2 linked regions of the Elephas maximus indicus genome follow. The protein of the gene in region 2 purifies or fractionates together with the protein of the main gene of each other region. This does not show direct contact. Links are inferred from orthologs where the notes say so. Each region holds a gene or a part of one and is shown on either strand. Other genes may lie near its edges.

The links. Proteins that work in one complex are often made in the same cells at the same time.
Region 1: the proteins of NAPA (region 2) and STX5 purify together in Homo sapiens (affinity purification with mass spectrometry; 3 studies listed by BioGRID and IntAct, with this or other methods). This does not show direct contact. The link is inferred for Elephas maximus indicus from reciprocal best matches to the Homo sapiens genes NAPA and STX5.

What each region holds. Positions count from the first base shown.
Region 1 is NC_064825.1:125,978,733-125,985,615, forward strand, and holds the start of STX5 (syntaxin-5), read right to left. Parts: upstream 2,902-6,883; 5' UTR 2,898-2,901; intron 2,677-2,897; exon of another isoform or gene 2,321-2,676; intron 2,232-2,320; 5' UTR 2,213-2,231; coding exon 1,988-2,212; intron 995-1,987; coding exon 924-994; intron 756-923; coding exon 700-755; intron 584-699; coding exon 513-583; intron 1-512. Other genes in the region: WDR74 (WD repeat-containing protein 74), read right to left, coding at 3,951-4,127, 4,665-4,721, 4,859-5,004, 5,322-5,377, 5,469-5,569. UniProt on the Homo sapiens protein: Mediates endoplasmic reticulum to Golgi transport.
Region 2 is NC_064829.1:101,403,304-101,411,016, reverse strand, and holds the start of NAPA (alpha-soluble NSF attachment protein), read right to left. Parts: upstream 3,028-7,713; 5' UTR 2,847-3,027; coding exon 2,749-2,846; intron 1-2,748. UniProt on the Homo sapiens protein: Required for vesicular transport between the endoplasmic reticulum and the Golgi apparatus. Together with GNA12 promotes CDH5 localization to plasma membrane.

The sequences.
Region 1 (6,883 bases), on a different chromosome or scaffold from region 2:
TTAAACAGCATAAGGGCAGGCATTCGTGAGCAGATAACGTCTGAGCAAAAACTGGAAGGCATGTCTTATTCCTGAACTTTCCCTTTTTAAGCCATGCCTCTGTATACACAGTTTTCTCTGTCTGGAATGTCCTTCCACTGCTGCTACACAAGACTTGAAACCAGTTCAGATTTCATCTCTGCTATAAAATCCTTCCCAGCACCCCCAACGGGTCTCACTGATCTTTTTGTAAGCTCTTTTCTGTACCACTTGACTCCTACTCACTGTAAGTATGGGTTCATGGGGCTGGATACCTCTTCTAGACAATAAGCCTGAATAAGGAATAAGGAATCTTGTCTCATGTTTTTGTCACCAGTGCCCAGCATAATCCTTTGTACCTTGTAGGTTATCCAAAAGTATCTACTGGCTCAATGGATGAGTAGGATGCTTGGGGCTGGCTCTAGAAACTTGCTCTGGGCTTCCACAGCAATGGAAAATGATGGAAGTGATCTGACCGATGGCTAGTAGCTCACCTGTTTGATGATGTATGTCAGCTCCTCGATTTCCACTGCTTTATCATCAAAGAGGGACTTGCGCTTTGCCACTGCAGGGACAAGTGAGAACCCACAACAGGTGAGGTCAGAAACAGGACTCAGAGTAAGGCTCCCCAATGTCTTTGGTTCATTGCCCCACCACAAAAGGGTCCCCCAAAACACTCACAGATTGTCAGCTTCTCCAGCTTGGCAAATGTGTTGCTGAGATCTTTCCCAATGCGCCTGCAAATGAGCATTAGTGAGAGCACTGTAAGAAAGGGCAGGAGAGTGCCTATTCCCGCATCAGCTCCAGCACAGCCAATCCCAGTCCTCACAGCCAAGCCTATCAAAGGCAAGCCCACTTCTGCTCAGACACAAGAGCGTACCACCACACCGCTTCTCTCGACTCACTTGGCCATGAGGGTGAATTCACTGCGCTGCCGGACAGCACGCAGAGCTGGCTTGTTCGTTTGGATTCCATTCTGAAAAGCAATGTCAGGAGGTGACAACTTTAGCTCTCCCTTCCTCATTTCCAGACTTTACTGCTCCTCAGATGCCCACTAAACTCCTTCTAGTGATGAGCTCCTTAATCAGATAGCCTAGATTTACCAGCAGTAGTAGTTTAAGAGCTCAGATTAAAGACAAGTAGATCTGGGTTCAAAGCTTGACTCTCACTTATTAGCTGAGAGACTTAAACCATTTTGAGTCTTTGTTTCCTCTACTCTAAAAGGAAAACAATTCACCTATCTCCTATTATTGTTACTGAAACTAAATGACAAAAAAGCTGTAAAGTATTTTAGACAAATATTGAGCATATTATAAATACTAAACTGGTAGCTGGTACTGCCATTCTATTCTCAGAATCAAAAGAGAAGTATAACTAGAAGGTTTGGAGATCATGTGGATGAGCAGCTATTAGCAAGAGCTGAACACGAAATATACTTAAAAATAGTTACCCAGATCCCACTTGGATTTAGGAATCTGGACTTAGACAAACGAATTTGCCTTTTAAAAGACACTCTAAAGCAATTCTGACAAAAATCACTGATCTAGAAAACTTCTCTCATTTTAATGACAGAAAAACTGAGGTCCAAATAGTAATTAACTTCCTCACGGTCACAAAACAAACTTCTGTTAGAACTACGTGGGAACCAGAATTCAAGGTGCATGCCTCCCAGCTAAAGCGTATTGCTAGAGCCTGTTACTTATCCAAATCAAATACAGTGCAGCCACCTCTGGCCCTGAGGGATTCCTCCCAGAACAACAGCCCTACCCTCAGGGGGTTCTTCACAGAAGTCAAGGTCCTTGCCTCCAGTTAGCTAACCTGCATCTTCTCTGCTGCTTAGTAGATCCCACAGCCCCACACATGAGCCTGCCATAAGGATCCCCCAAGAACTACTTCAGCAAACAGTGCTGCAGCCCACTTCCCCACCGACTACGGCTCACCTCTCGCCTTTCCCACTCCAGGTCCTTACCTGACGGCTCTGCAGGGACTTGCAAGCAGACAGGAACTCTTGGGTCCGGTCCCGGCAGGACATGGCGTCGGGAGGGGGAGGGACTAGGGCCACTGGGGGGGGCAGAGGGGCGATGTCGCTGCTGCCACTGCCAGCAGTTGCAGGGGACAGGACCTGTGTCTTTGAGAGACCCAGGTAGACACCCTGATCCGTGTTCTTAGATCCGTAGCGTTTCCGCGGGATCATTGAGACGCATAACCTCGGACTGTTGTGGAGGGCAGAGTGTCATTCCCCAGGCAGCCTCCATCCCCACAAGTTCCCCCCGACCAGCAAATCCTCCGGCCCTTTCTGCACCTGGCACGGACTTTCGCGCCCAAGGCCGGCCCGCAGAGGGAAGGCCCCGCTTCCTTCCCGGCTCAAGTTGTCCCCTCCTCAGACCCTTCTTCCAACTTGGCTCGGTCGGCCAGGGCGCGGGCCTGGGGCCCTGAGCGCAGCCAGGGCCAGAGCCACGTCCCGTGGCCCTGAGGCTACAGCTCGGCAGGTGCAGCTGCCCCAGGCCTTAACTGGGCCGTCCCGTACCCCTGGGCTCCTTAAACTCCTCAGGGGGAAACGGTGACGGACTTCCTGACCGGGACACACTTCGGTGGGCGGAGGGGGGAATCTCTAAGTGTTTATTTGAAACAGGAAGTCCCACCCCCCGCCCAAGTTCCGCCTCCTGGAGGATTGCAACCACTGATTAGCTAATATCGACGTCTTTCTCAACAGGAACGTTCCTGATTGGACGGTCAAGCATTCGCTCACCGCCCCCCCCCCCGGGCCGGCAAGACTTGCCGGCTCGTCCCCTGTTCCCCTCCCCCCCGTCGCCGCCCCCAGAGAGCCGCTGTCCCGGAGCTGACACGGCGACCGGACCCCCTCTTAAAGCGAATCCTACCTCCTCACTGCCGCCGGCCGCCGCTGCCTATGCCACAGTCTCCTGGGCCGTCACTGCCTCCTCCCCGAGAGCAGAAGCCGCCGAAACCCGGCCAAAGATTGGAAGCCGCCACGTCACCCACACGTAACCCCGCCCCTGGTGACGACAGCGCGGCGCCACGCTTTTCCAAGCCCGGCGACCCGGCAGACACGCCCCTGCCCGAGCGTAGGCGTGACCTCACCGTCCCATTGGCTAGGCCGATACCGTGACCCCGCCCCAGAGGAGGGAGCCCTTGAGCACCGGGGGGCTAGGCCAACCTTAGGGTAGGAGTCTTAAAGAGCCCGCAGCCCCAGTGGTGCCGTCGCCCGGTGCTCCGAAAGTGGCAGTGGAGAGTAAGCGCTCGCGCAAGTCCGCGTTAGAAATTTTATTCTCTGGAGGCTGGGGCGAACTGAGAGCAGGTCTGGGGTCACCCCTTTTCTGACTCCTCCTGGATCCTCTCCGGGGCGTTCTCCGCCTTCTGACTCCCCGGCTTTTGACTCTGGCCTGAATGCTTCTTGTTCGACCGTGAGGAGCCCCGACGGCTGAACAGGGATAGCCGCCGCCACAGCACAGTGATCAGAAGGCTTTCGCTCGACTTGCGATTCCGGCGGCTCGGGGCGTCCGTGGCATCAGTCCCTTCGGTGCCTAGGGGGTCCACGAGGCCGCTGAGCTTTGCTTTACCATCCCCTGTCCAACCTCCCTGGCCATACCGCTGGGGCAGCCTCCTCTCCCGCGCCCGTGCCTGTCCCCCTCTTCTGCATCTCTGCTCCCACCTTCCACGGAGTCGGCCTCCCTGGTGGCCTCATCGGAGTCCTTGTCTTGGCAGCAGCCCATGGCCCCCCGCGGCCCGCACTCCGTGCCAGCCCCGCCAGCCCACCCGCCCGCCCCGCGGGCCCTTCGCCGGCTTTTGTGACGTCAGAAATCGTGCCGCCCCAGCTCTCCTATCCCAAGCCACTTCTTCCCTTTCTCCCATCACAAAAGGCTCAGGTCATGGCGGGTGCTGGGATGTTTATTTACAAAGTGGGTACAGGGTTTTCAGGGACTGGTGGATCTAGGTCTCTTCTTTCTTTGCCTGGCTTGTTGGGCCCCTTGGCTCTGCTTGAAATTAGGGAGCTTCCGCTTTGCAGCCGCCTCCAAGGAAGCCCAAAGTTCATCCGTCTCTGTGTCTTCTGGGGACACCCTGTCGGGTTCTTCAGGCTCTTGGGGCTCATCCTGGTGAACGGGAGGAAAGCTGAAGAATCAGGGGCAAAGTAACAGACCCACAAGGAGGCCCTAAGCCAAAACTAAACCCATTCCAACCAGTTGATTGCAGTTCATACCGACCCCAGAGGACAGAGCAGAACTGCCATAGGCTTTCCAAGGCTGTAATCTTTACAGTAGATTGCCACACGTTTCTCCTGAGGAGTGGCTGGTGGGTTTGAACCACTGAACTTTTGGTTAGCAGCGCAGTGCTTAATCACTGTGCCACCAAGGCTCCTCTGTGGAAGCCCTAGTGGGAAGATAATCCCACCACCACCATCATCTTTATTTTCTGCACCCGGGACACCAATTCGGTCCATGCTTTTAGACATGTCACTCTTGGCAATAACTTTGTCAGGGCTGACTATTAAAACCTGTCAGAGAAATGAAATAATCTGGCAGGCAAGTGGACAGCTCCAGATCTGGGTTCCAGCTGCCACTTTTTTCTCTCTGAGGGAAATCCTCACATACATGCCCTTTGCTCTCACATTCCCAGATCCAGTAGCTCACCTCCCAGTTGTCCCTGCCCGACAGAAGGAGGCAATTCAGCCGAGACTTGAGATAAACCTGCAAAAGATGAGGGGACTTAAGGAGCCCAGGCATGCTGAAGTAGATGGAAAAATGAATGGGGGCACAGGTGCCAGTGGGCTCCAGGAACTGTGAACTAGGCAGAACGGGCAAGGCTCAAAGGTTCGGGCTCTCACCTTATGCTCCAGACCCCGTGGGTTCCGTATCCTGTGCACCCTCAAGACTCTATCCAGGCCGCAGGAGGCTAACAGGGGCTTTGAAGGGTGGCACTGCAACGCTCGGACACTGCCTGCCAGCCCCTTTAGACAGCCTAGGAGGCGCCCTGGGGACAGCAGGGGTATCAGTGTTAGCTGGCCAGCCAACAACCACGTATTGTTTGCTGTTCTGATCACTTTACATCTCAACATTTAGTCCTCAATGTAACTCAGAGACAGGAATTACCAGTAATATCTCCATGTTACACGTGAGGAAACTGAGGCACAGAGAGTTGAAGTAATTTGGCAAGGCCAGCAGCTTTTGGTGAAAACAGGATTTGAACCCAGGCAATGTGGCACCTGAACAGAGCTAACAACCACTCCATTGCATTGCCTCAGAAGGAATTCTGCCTTCTTCCCCACCCTCACCCTCTAGTCCACTTACCTTGCCGAAGGTCAATTTCTGCCAGCTGCCCATGCGTGTTCCCCACAATCACCGAACTGAAGAGACCAGAAGCAAGTGCGTCAGCAGGAACCTCCCGGAGCCGTCCCTGAGCCCCCGCCACCCACCTTTACCCCTCCAGGCACTTACTTGCCCTCAGGAGTGAGGGTCATGGCTGTCAGCGGATATTCTCCATAGGTGGCCTCAAGGACTGGCCGGCGCTGGGGGGAGGCTGGATCATAGACACGGACCTGGAGGAAGACTGAGTCATCATAAGAGTACCCTCAGCCCGCACACCCTCCTTGGGCTTCTCCACATCTTCCTGTGCTGTTTGTTTATGACCCAGTCTCAGACCAACCTGTGAGGTGGGCAGGTGTGGTGAAATAAGTTCCTTTATGTGGCCTTTTGCCTTGGTTCTTAGGAAAAACAGCTTGAGATTTTTCCACTAAGCCCTGAGGGGTTACCTTTGCCCTGGTTTTCTACCTAAGGGTTTGCTACTTCTGTCCATGTTGACTAACATTTCCTGGGTAAACTGTAAACGGCTTGGTTTGATACTTCTTGTCTGGTCCTGGGCTGTAGCCTATCCTGTGATAGGTATGCACCTTGTAAGGACTGATCAATATACTATGCAAATCAAGTGACTACAGACTATGCAAATCAAATGACTATGGTCCACAAAGGGGATTGGTTAGTCTGTGGCCCTGCCGGGAGGGCCATACCTTGAAACTGATAAGGAGTTTGCTTATATAAGTGGCCAAACCCACAGAGGTTTCAGAAGGGAGAAAAGACAAGACAGGCAAGAGAGAAGCAGCAGACAGGAGGCGAGGAACCTCCTAAAAGAGCTGTAACACAGGTGAAGGCCTGTAACACTGAAGGCATCAAGAAGCCCAGAAGGGGTCTTGCGACACAGCCAGTGGCAACAGGCCCAGGTTGGCCCTGGGGGAGAGTTGAAAATGACAGCAGAAACCTTCAGCTAGGAATGCAGCTAAGCTGAACAAAGCTTTTACACTGGCTATAAGCTGGATCAGTTAGCAGCAGAGAGGCTGACAGCAGGGTGGCCAAAGGCAAAGAGGCGTGCATGGCTGAGGGGGCGTGTATGGCAGAGAGAAGGGCCTGCTTGCTTGCATGGCCAAGAGGCGCCGGGAGCTATTTACACTGAAGAAGGGAGTGATGTGCCTTCCACCTCAGGGGCGTCTTTTAGACTTTGCTTACATGCTTCCGGATCCTGATCCTAAGTTGCAGCCTGTTGATTCTGATATCCTGTTACTTCCTTAGTAAACCACTTAACTGTAAGTATGGCCTGAGTTGTGTGGCTGTTCCAATGACTTACGGAACCCCGCAGAGAAGCAGAGTGCGCCATGGGGGCAAGAGGGGATGCGGTTGGCTGGTGTCGGAAATGGTAAAGAAGTTGGAGAGGGGGGTATGTTTGACCTCCACCTCATAGGAATCAGCTTTGGGCTGATGGTGATTCTGTCTCCTCCTCCTGAAGTTAGAGGACTTCAGGCGCTACTAGAACATTTTTTTAGCAGGATTGTGAAAACTGAGGTACAAGCTTACTTAGAAGC
Region 2 (7,713 bases):
TTAGCAAATCCTTGGGCTCCAGGAGGTCCAGCTCACTCCTCACAAATAGCCTTCCTCCAGTTCATACTCTCATCTCAGAACTTCCCCGAACAACATAATCTACCCCTTGTTTCCCCATACAAGTTCACTTTGATCACAATTCGCCAGTGTTCATCTTGCCTTAAAGAGCCCTGGTGACACAACAATTAAGTTACTAGCTGAAAGGTTGGCAAATTCGAATCTACCAGCCGCTCTGTGGGAGAAAAGACCTGGGTAAAGATTTCAGCCTAGGAAACCCAATGGGCAGCTCTATGAGTTGGAAAAGACTCAAGGGCACCCAGGCAGGCTGCAAGTGCCTCAAGGGCTCTGATCTCGCTGGCCTAGCTGCTCCCTCCAAGCACAACCCAAGAGCCCCCGATTCCTAGTCAGAAGGGACCAGACACCCAGAACCACCCAGGAAAACTACTACCTGAAACTGAGCTCTTGGCCCCACCCCAATACATTGCACTTGAACTTCTCCCCTTGTGAAGGAAGAAAAACACAAACACTCTCTCTCCCCTCTCAGCTTCTAAAACAACATTCTTTGCGTAATCAATATGACCCATCAGTCCTGGCTGTCTCCTCACACCACTTTCCTCCAGTCCGTTTGCTGCACATTTTCCAATCTCAAATAACAAGGGAGGGCTCCTTCCACCATCTCCTCTCTCAAAAGAACTTACTCTTATTTCTTACTAACCCCTGCTGGGCTCCTAACACAATCTCTTCTAGCCCCCAGGTCCTCCTCCTAAACCCCATTTCCTAGCCTTCTGGGGGTTCTCCAGCCTTACAGCCCTCCCTGGTCCCTGCCTCTCTTGAGTTCTCTGAGTCCATGCCCACCCCGACCTGCAGTTCTTCCTCTTTGTTGTTGGCTGTCATGGAGTCCATTCCCACTCATGCTGATCCCACGCGTGCAGAGCAGAACTATTCCATCGGGTTTTCAAGGCTCCGACCTTTCAGAAGCAGATCGCCAGGCTTGACTACTGAGGTGCCTCTGGGTGGGTTCAAACTGCCAACCTTTTAGCTAGTAAACCATTTAACCATTTGAGCCACCTGGGGACTCCTTCCTAACTCTCTGTTGTTATTAGATGCCCTCAAGTTGATTTCAACTCATTGTGACTCCAAGTGACAGATCAGAACTGCCCCACAGGGTTTCCTTGGCAGTAATCTTTAAGGGAGGTGACTGTCAGGCCTTTCTGCCACGGAGCTGCTGGGTGGGTTTGAACCGCCAACCCTGCAGTTAGCAGCCAAGCACTTCCTCTCCTAGTCTTCCTCACAGTCCTGACAGCTTCCCCTTCACCCTTTCCAGTCCCTCCCTCAGCACCCCCTCCTCTAGTCCTCCAGGGATCCCTACTTCTTCTGCCCAGAGCCCTCTAACCCTGCAGACCCCCTGGCCCGGAGCCATTTCCCCCCTCCTTCTCTCCTCCTCTTTATCACACTTAGGCTTTTTCCCCCTCAGATCCCTCCTCACTCCTCCCAGACCTCTCCCTTCAGGCTCAGGCCTTAACCCCACCAGCCCCCCTACAGGCTCCAAGCCTGTCTCCTCACATGTAGCAACATTAACAACAACCAACACTTTCCAAGCTTTAACTGCATTCCAGGCTTGCACTTACACACGCTCACAGCAAACCTCTGAGGTGGGCTTTATGAGTGATCCCCTTTAAAAGGGAAGTTCAACAACTTTACTTACTCAGCATCCCAAAGTAAGGGGTAGAATCAAACTTCAAACCTGGCCTTTATGACACCCGAAAACCACCAAGATTTCTCAAAGGATGTCGTCAGGACTACTTTCAAGACTTAATAAATTTTACGTGAAATATCCATCATGTCACAGGTGTCAGTTCTGCCTCACAGGCCCCTTTCAGGTCCTCTTCACACCCCGCACCCGCCACTGTCCCCAGACCTCCCCATCCTTACTCAATGATCACAAAGCAGCCTTAACACACCTCCCTTCGGTTCTTCAGTTTCCTCATGTCTCCCTTTGATCCCTCAATCTCAGCCAAGCCGGCATCACCCATTCCCTCACCACACATTCCTCTCCAGCTTCTGAGCTCAGGCCTCCTACATCATCCCCAGGGACTCCTCCACTTGGGTTCCACTCCAGGCTAAGATACTCTTAAGACTGGTCACCACCCCAGGCACTTTGCACACCTTGACTTGGGCTCACCACTCTCAGGATCCCCGGAGCCCTGATACCCTCGGCCTGGTGTCTGATTCCTCGGTCCTCACCCTTCACCCAGGGTCCACACAAATCCACTTTCGCGGGCCTCGGAAATGTCAACACCTCGGGCAAGTGGCTTCAGCCCCAGGCCTCATCAAGGATCCTTGAAATAGGTTCTCCTAGAGCTCCGAAAGACTCCTTAACCTAGCTGCCGCAACCTCTCAGGCCAAGCCCCTTTCAAGGCCTCGGCCCATGTTCTCCTCCAGCCCCTTGGCCCGTCTTGGATGTAAGTTCCCCTAGCCGCCTCAAGATGGTGTCGCCTCGGCTAGTGTCTTCTCAGCCCAGGTCCCCTCCGCCGTCCCACTGTCTCTGCTCACGCCCTGTCGCCAAGGTCTGGGCCCCTTGGCCCTCAAGCCTGTGTCCCCCCGCTGCCTTGGATCATGTCTCCTCATCCCGGAACCCCCTCCGTCCTCTTGGGCCGAACCCTTTGTGCCTGCCCCGCCGCTTCAGGCCGTAACTCCTTCGGCCCGTCACTCAGCCTAGGTTCCGCCGGCCCGCGGCCCGGTTCTTACCCAAAGAGGCCAGAAAAGAAGGACTGCGAGTTCTTCACCTTGCGCTCCGCTTCGGCCAGTAGCGCTATCGCCTCCGCTTCCTTCCCGGAGTTGTCCATGGCGGACGCAAAGGGACTCAGCAAACTGTCCGAACCGGGCCCTGGGAAGACTCTGCCCTGGCCCGGCCGCAGAAGACAGGTCCGGGGAGCTTAGCGAGCTGCGTTGACGTCGCACCGGCGCGCGCCGCCGGCCGCCCAGCACCATGTGACTTACGCCGACCAACCAACAGCCTCGTGACAAGGTGCGCGCCCCACCGGCCACGCCCCCGCCAGCCTCCGCGTACCGACCAATGAGCCGCAAACTCCAATCTGCATCTGCAAGACTTAGACGCGTACGCACAGCAGCTTACGGCAGTCTCACTGCCCACGTGACTCGGCCTAAGCCAATCCAAATCCTCGCCGTGAAGATCCGCCCCCAGGGCGCCACCTTCCTGGTTCTTACTCCACCAATTATCAGCTGCCCTCGCTAGGGCCCGCCCCTCCTTATGGACCTTGAGCACTGGTCAGCTGACGGCCGACCCTCACGTGACAGTCGACTGGCGCAGAGCTTAGTACCGCCGCATATGTGCTTATCTCCCGCGGTTCTCTTCCAATTGGAAGGGCGTGTGTGGTAAAAAAGAAAACATTCTGCCTTTTCATGCGCCCTCTGCCGACGACCGCTGAAACTGGTGGGCGGGGGGAGGCTAGGAAAGTACTCCAAAGACCGGAAACAGAACTTTGAGAACAGAGGTTCTCTAACTCTACTTGCTTAAGAAGTTGAACAGTTATGTGAAGTGTGTACAACAGGCAAATGTACAGACACCAGTGATTGCCAGAGGCTGGGGGGAGGGCTGAGTGGGTACGGTTTGGGATAATGAAAGTTGTGGATACAGTGGTGATAGTTATATAACATTGTGAATGTAGTTATATAACTGAATTCTACACTTAAAATGGCTAAAAATAGCAAACTTTGTGTTAACGTATTTTACCACGGTAAGTTTTAGGTTCACGCACACTACGCCCTAGATCTTGGTTTCTACCACCGTACTGCAATAAGGGAACGAGGGGCAGAGCATTATGCAGATGGGCCCAGAGCATCTTGTAGTGCCAGAGTGTAAGGCAGTGCTAAAACGAAAACAAAACACACGCACAGTGCTGGGGGGAGGTCAAAGGGGCACTGGAGCAGGGCTCCCAGTGGCCACAGCTGGAGCAATTTGAGTAACAAGTAGTATTGGATTATAACTCCAAGTATAAAATCATCACAAGTTCACCACCACCATCAGTAGCCATTCAGTTGACAGACTCCTGGCGACCCCAACTGTTGGTGACCCCATTGTGTTAGAGTAGAATTGTGCTCCACAGTTTTCAGTGGCAGAGTTTCCGGAAGAAGACTGCCAGGCTTTTCTTTTGAAGTGCCTCTGGGTGAGCCGGAACCTCTAACCTTCTGGCTAGCAGCGGAGTGCGTTAACCATCAGCATCATCCAGGGAGACTGATACAGATTTTTAAATGATCGAATAAATAAATGGGGGAAAACAGACAAATTTCCTAGGCAGAAGAATTCCAAATAATTTATGTAGATACCCCACCCTCACGGAGGTGGAGCATAACTCCTCATTCCTTAAGTGTGGGCTGCATATAATAACTTCCTTCCAAAGTGTACGGTATGGAAAGGATAGGGAAAAAAAAAAAAGAGTAACTTTATAGTGCAGAAACACTGCCTCAGCCAGGTGATCAAGGTCAACATCAACAGTGATAAGTTATGTTGACAGCATATACCCTTGATATGATGTAATGAAAATGGCACTTTCCCTCTCGTCTTCTTCCCTAAAACCCATAACCCCATGTCTAATCAGGAGAAAAACATGAGACAAATCCCAATTTCTAGAAAATACCTGACTAGTACTCCCCAAAACTGTCAATCTCTGAAAACAAGGAAGTCTGAGAAACTGTCACACCCAAGAAGAGCTTAAGGAGACATGACAACTAAATGTGATGGGATGCGCTGGATGGAATCTTGGAACAGAAAAAGGACACTCAAAGCCACTGCCGTTGAGACGATTCCCACTCATGGTGACCCTATATGGCAGAGCAGAACTGCCCCATAGGGTTTCCAAGTCTATAGTATTTATGGAAGTAAACTGCCACATCTTTTTCCCGCAGAGCGGCTGGTGGGTTTGAACCAACAACCTTTAGGTTAGCAGCTGAACACTTAACCACTGGGCCACCAGGGCTGGTCAAAAAGGACATTAAGCTAAGGACATCTGAATAAAGTACTCTGTTAAGTGCCATCAAGTCAGTTCCAACTCATTGTGACCCGATGTACAACAGAACAAAACATTGCCCAGTCCTGCGCCATCCTCGCAATCGTTGCTACCTTTGAGCCCACTGTTGCTGCCACTGTGTCAGTTCTTCTCATTGAGGGGCTTCCTCTTTTTTGCTGACCCTCTACTTTACCAAACATGATGTCCTTCTCCAAGGAGTAGTCCCTCCTGATAACATGTCCAAAGTACATGAGACAAAGTCTTGCCATCCTCACTTCTAAGGAACATTCTGGATGTACAGATTTAGTTCATTCCTCTGGCAGTTGACAGCATATTCAACATTCTTCACCAACACCATAATTCAAATGCATCAATTTTTTTCAGCCTTCCTTATTCATCATCCAGCTTTCACAGGCGTATGAGGCTATTGAAAATACCACAGCTTGAGTCAGGTGCACCTTAATCCTCACAGGTGACATCTCTGCATCTTAACACTTTAAAGAGGTCTTCTGCAGATGTGCCCAATGCAATATATCCTTTGATTTCCTGACTGCTGCTTCCATGGGTGTTGGACAAAGTATGGACTTTAGTTAATAATAATGTATCAATATTGGTTCATTGATTGTAACAAGTGTACCATAACCACGTAAGATGTTAATAATAGGGAAATGGGTGTTGGGTATATGAGAACTTTCTGTATGATCTTTGCAATTTTTTCTATAAATCTAAACGGTTCTAAAATTCAAAGTTCATTTTAAAAATTCAGGTTTCAAGGCTCTGCCCCCACCTGATTCAGATTCTGAAAGCCTGTGGCAGGACACAGGAGTCTGCGTTTTTTCCCACAAGCTCCCAGATGACTTGGTTGCAGACAATCCGGGAACCACTGTTTGAGAAAATGCTGTTTGGGGTTTGGCTGAGCAGAGTTTAAGGCACAAGAAACCTCCGCCCCACTCTTTTCTTAAACAGGCTCTCCTGGACCACCCACAGGTGGCTGCCACTGTATGCTGACCACAAATTGGGTGGGGTGATTCTGAACTACCACCAGTAATTTTGGTTCCGTGTCCATCAAAGCGGCACTATTCTAAGAGCTCCCATGTGTTTTAACTGTTAAGTTGCAGGGTAATTTGTTGTGCAATAATAGAAAACTAATATACCCACGGTTGCTGTCAAGTCAATTCTAACTCATAGCAATCCTACAGGGCAGAGTAAAACTGCCCCATGGGGTTTCCAAGGCTGTACACTTTGCAGAAGCAGACTGCCACATCTTTCTCCCACAAAGTGGCTGATGGGTTTGAACCGCCAACCTTTAGGTTAGCAGCTGAGTGCTTAACCACTGCACCACCAGGGCTCCTGATAACTAATACACCACCCCCAACCCTTTTAGCCAAAGACATTTCCAGAGCCATGGAGTTTGACTTGCTGTTTAAGCTGTGACCCGGGCAATTATAGCAATACCACGAGTGTTTGTTCAACGGGAGCTAAGTTTATATGGTGCACCCTGCCACACACTTAATTTATGTTTTCTCATTTAACAGATACATGGCAGATGGCGGTATGCATCTTTCATCCCATTTTACAGATGAGAAAAATGAGGCCCACACAGGGCAAATGACTTGTCCACAGTTATGATGAACGAAGAGGAGCCAGGATGCAAATTCAGGTTCACCTGATGCCTGGGATCCTTCCCTTAACCATGGAGCCCCAACTGCTTTAAACCACTTCCTCCTCTGCTCTTCCCACTCTTGAGCACTTAGCTGTAAATGCTGCCCCTCTGTGAACCATCTGACACCACCCTCTGCCCTGCTCAGAATACAGCAGTTGTAGACACAATCACACTGCGATGCCATCGCCAGCTCTGCTGCTCTTTACCATCTTGGCTGATGGCACATACTTAGCTGCTGAAGCCCCAAACCTGCACAGCAGGCTTGACTCTGCCCTTTTCCTACCAACTCTCCCCATGATGTGCAACCTGTCAACAAGTCTGCAGAGTCCAGCTCCGAAAGGCATCCCTAGTCTGTGGGCTTCTTTTCCTCTGCACTGCTACCCTCACCCCCACACTCCCAGCCCAGGCCACCAGCATTTTTTACCTTAGAGTCTTCTATCCAATCTCTGGCTTCCACTCTTGTTCCGTACAGCCCATTCTTTATAGCTGTCAGAGAACGTTTTTTAAAAGGTACTGCTGTTCTCAGCTGCTGTTAAGTCGGCCCCCATTCTCATGGCGACCCCACGCACAGTGGAACGAAAAGCTGCCCAGTCCTGCACCACCCCCATGAGTGATGGTCATTCAGACTATTGTGATTCATAGGGTTTTCCTAAGTAGATTCCCAGGCCTTTCTTCCTAGTCTATCTTAGGAAGCAATGCTGAATCCTGTTCAGCGTCGGAGCAATGCAGAAGCCTCCACTGACGGATGGGTATTGGTTCTACGTGAGGTACTTTGGCCAGGAATGGAGCCCAGGTCTCTGTCATGGCAGGCAAGAACTCTACCACTGAGGAACCACTGCCCCGGTACTTGCTGTAGTAGGTGCTTAATAAATGCTTGCTGAATGAATGTACGAGTTAATCTGTCCAGCTCCCCCCGCCCCAAGCCACCAGCTCCCCCAGGGCAGGGACTCATTTTTCTGTTCTCTGTCACGCTGGCACGCGCCAGGGCTCAAGGCCCTTGTGGGATCAACAGGCCAGGGAAAC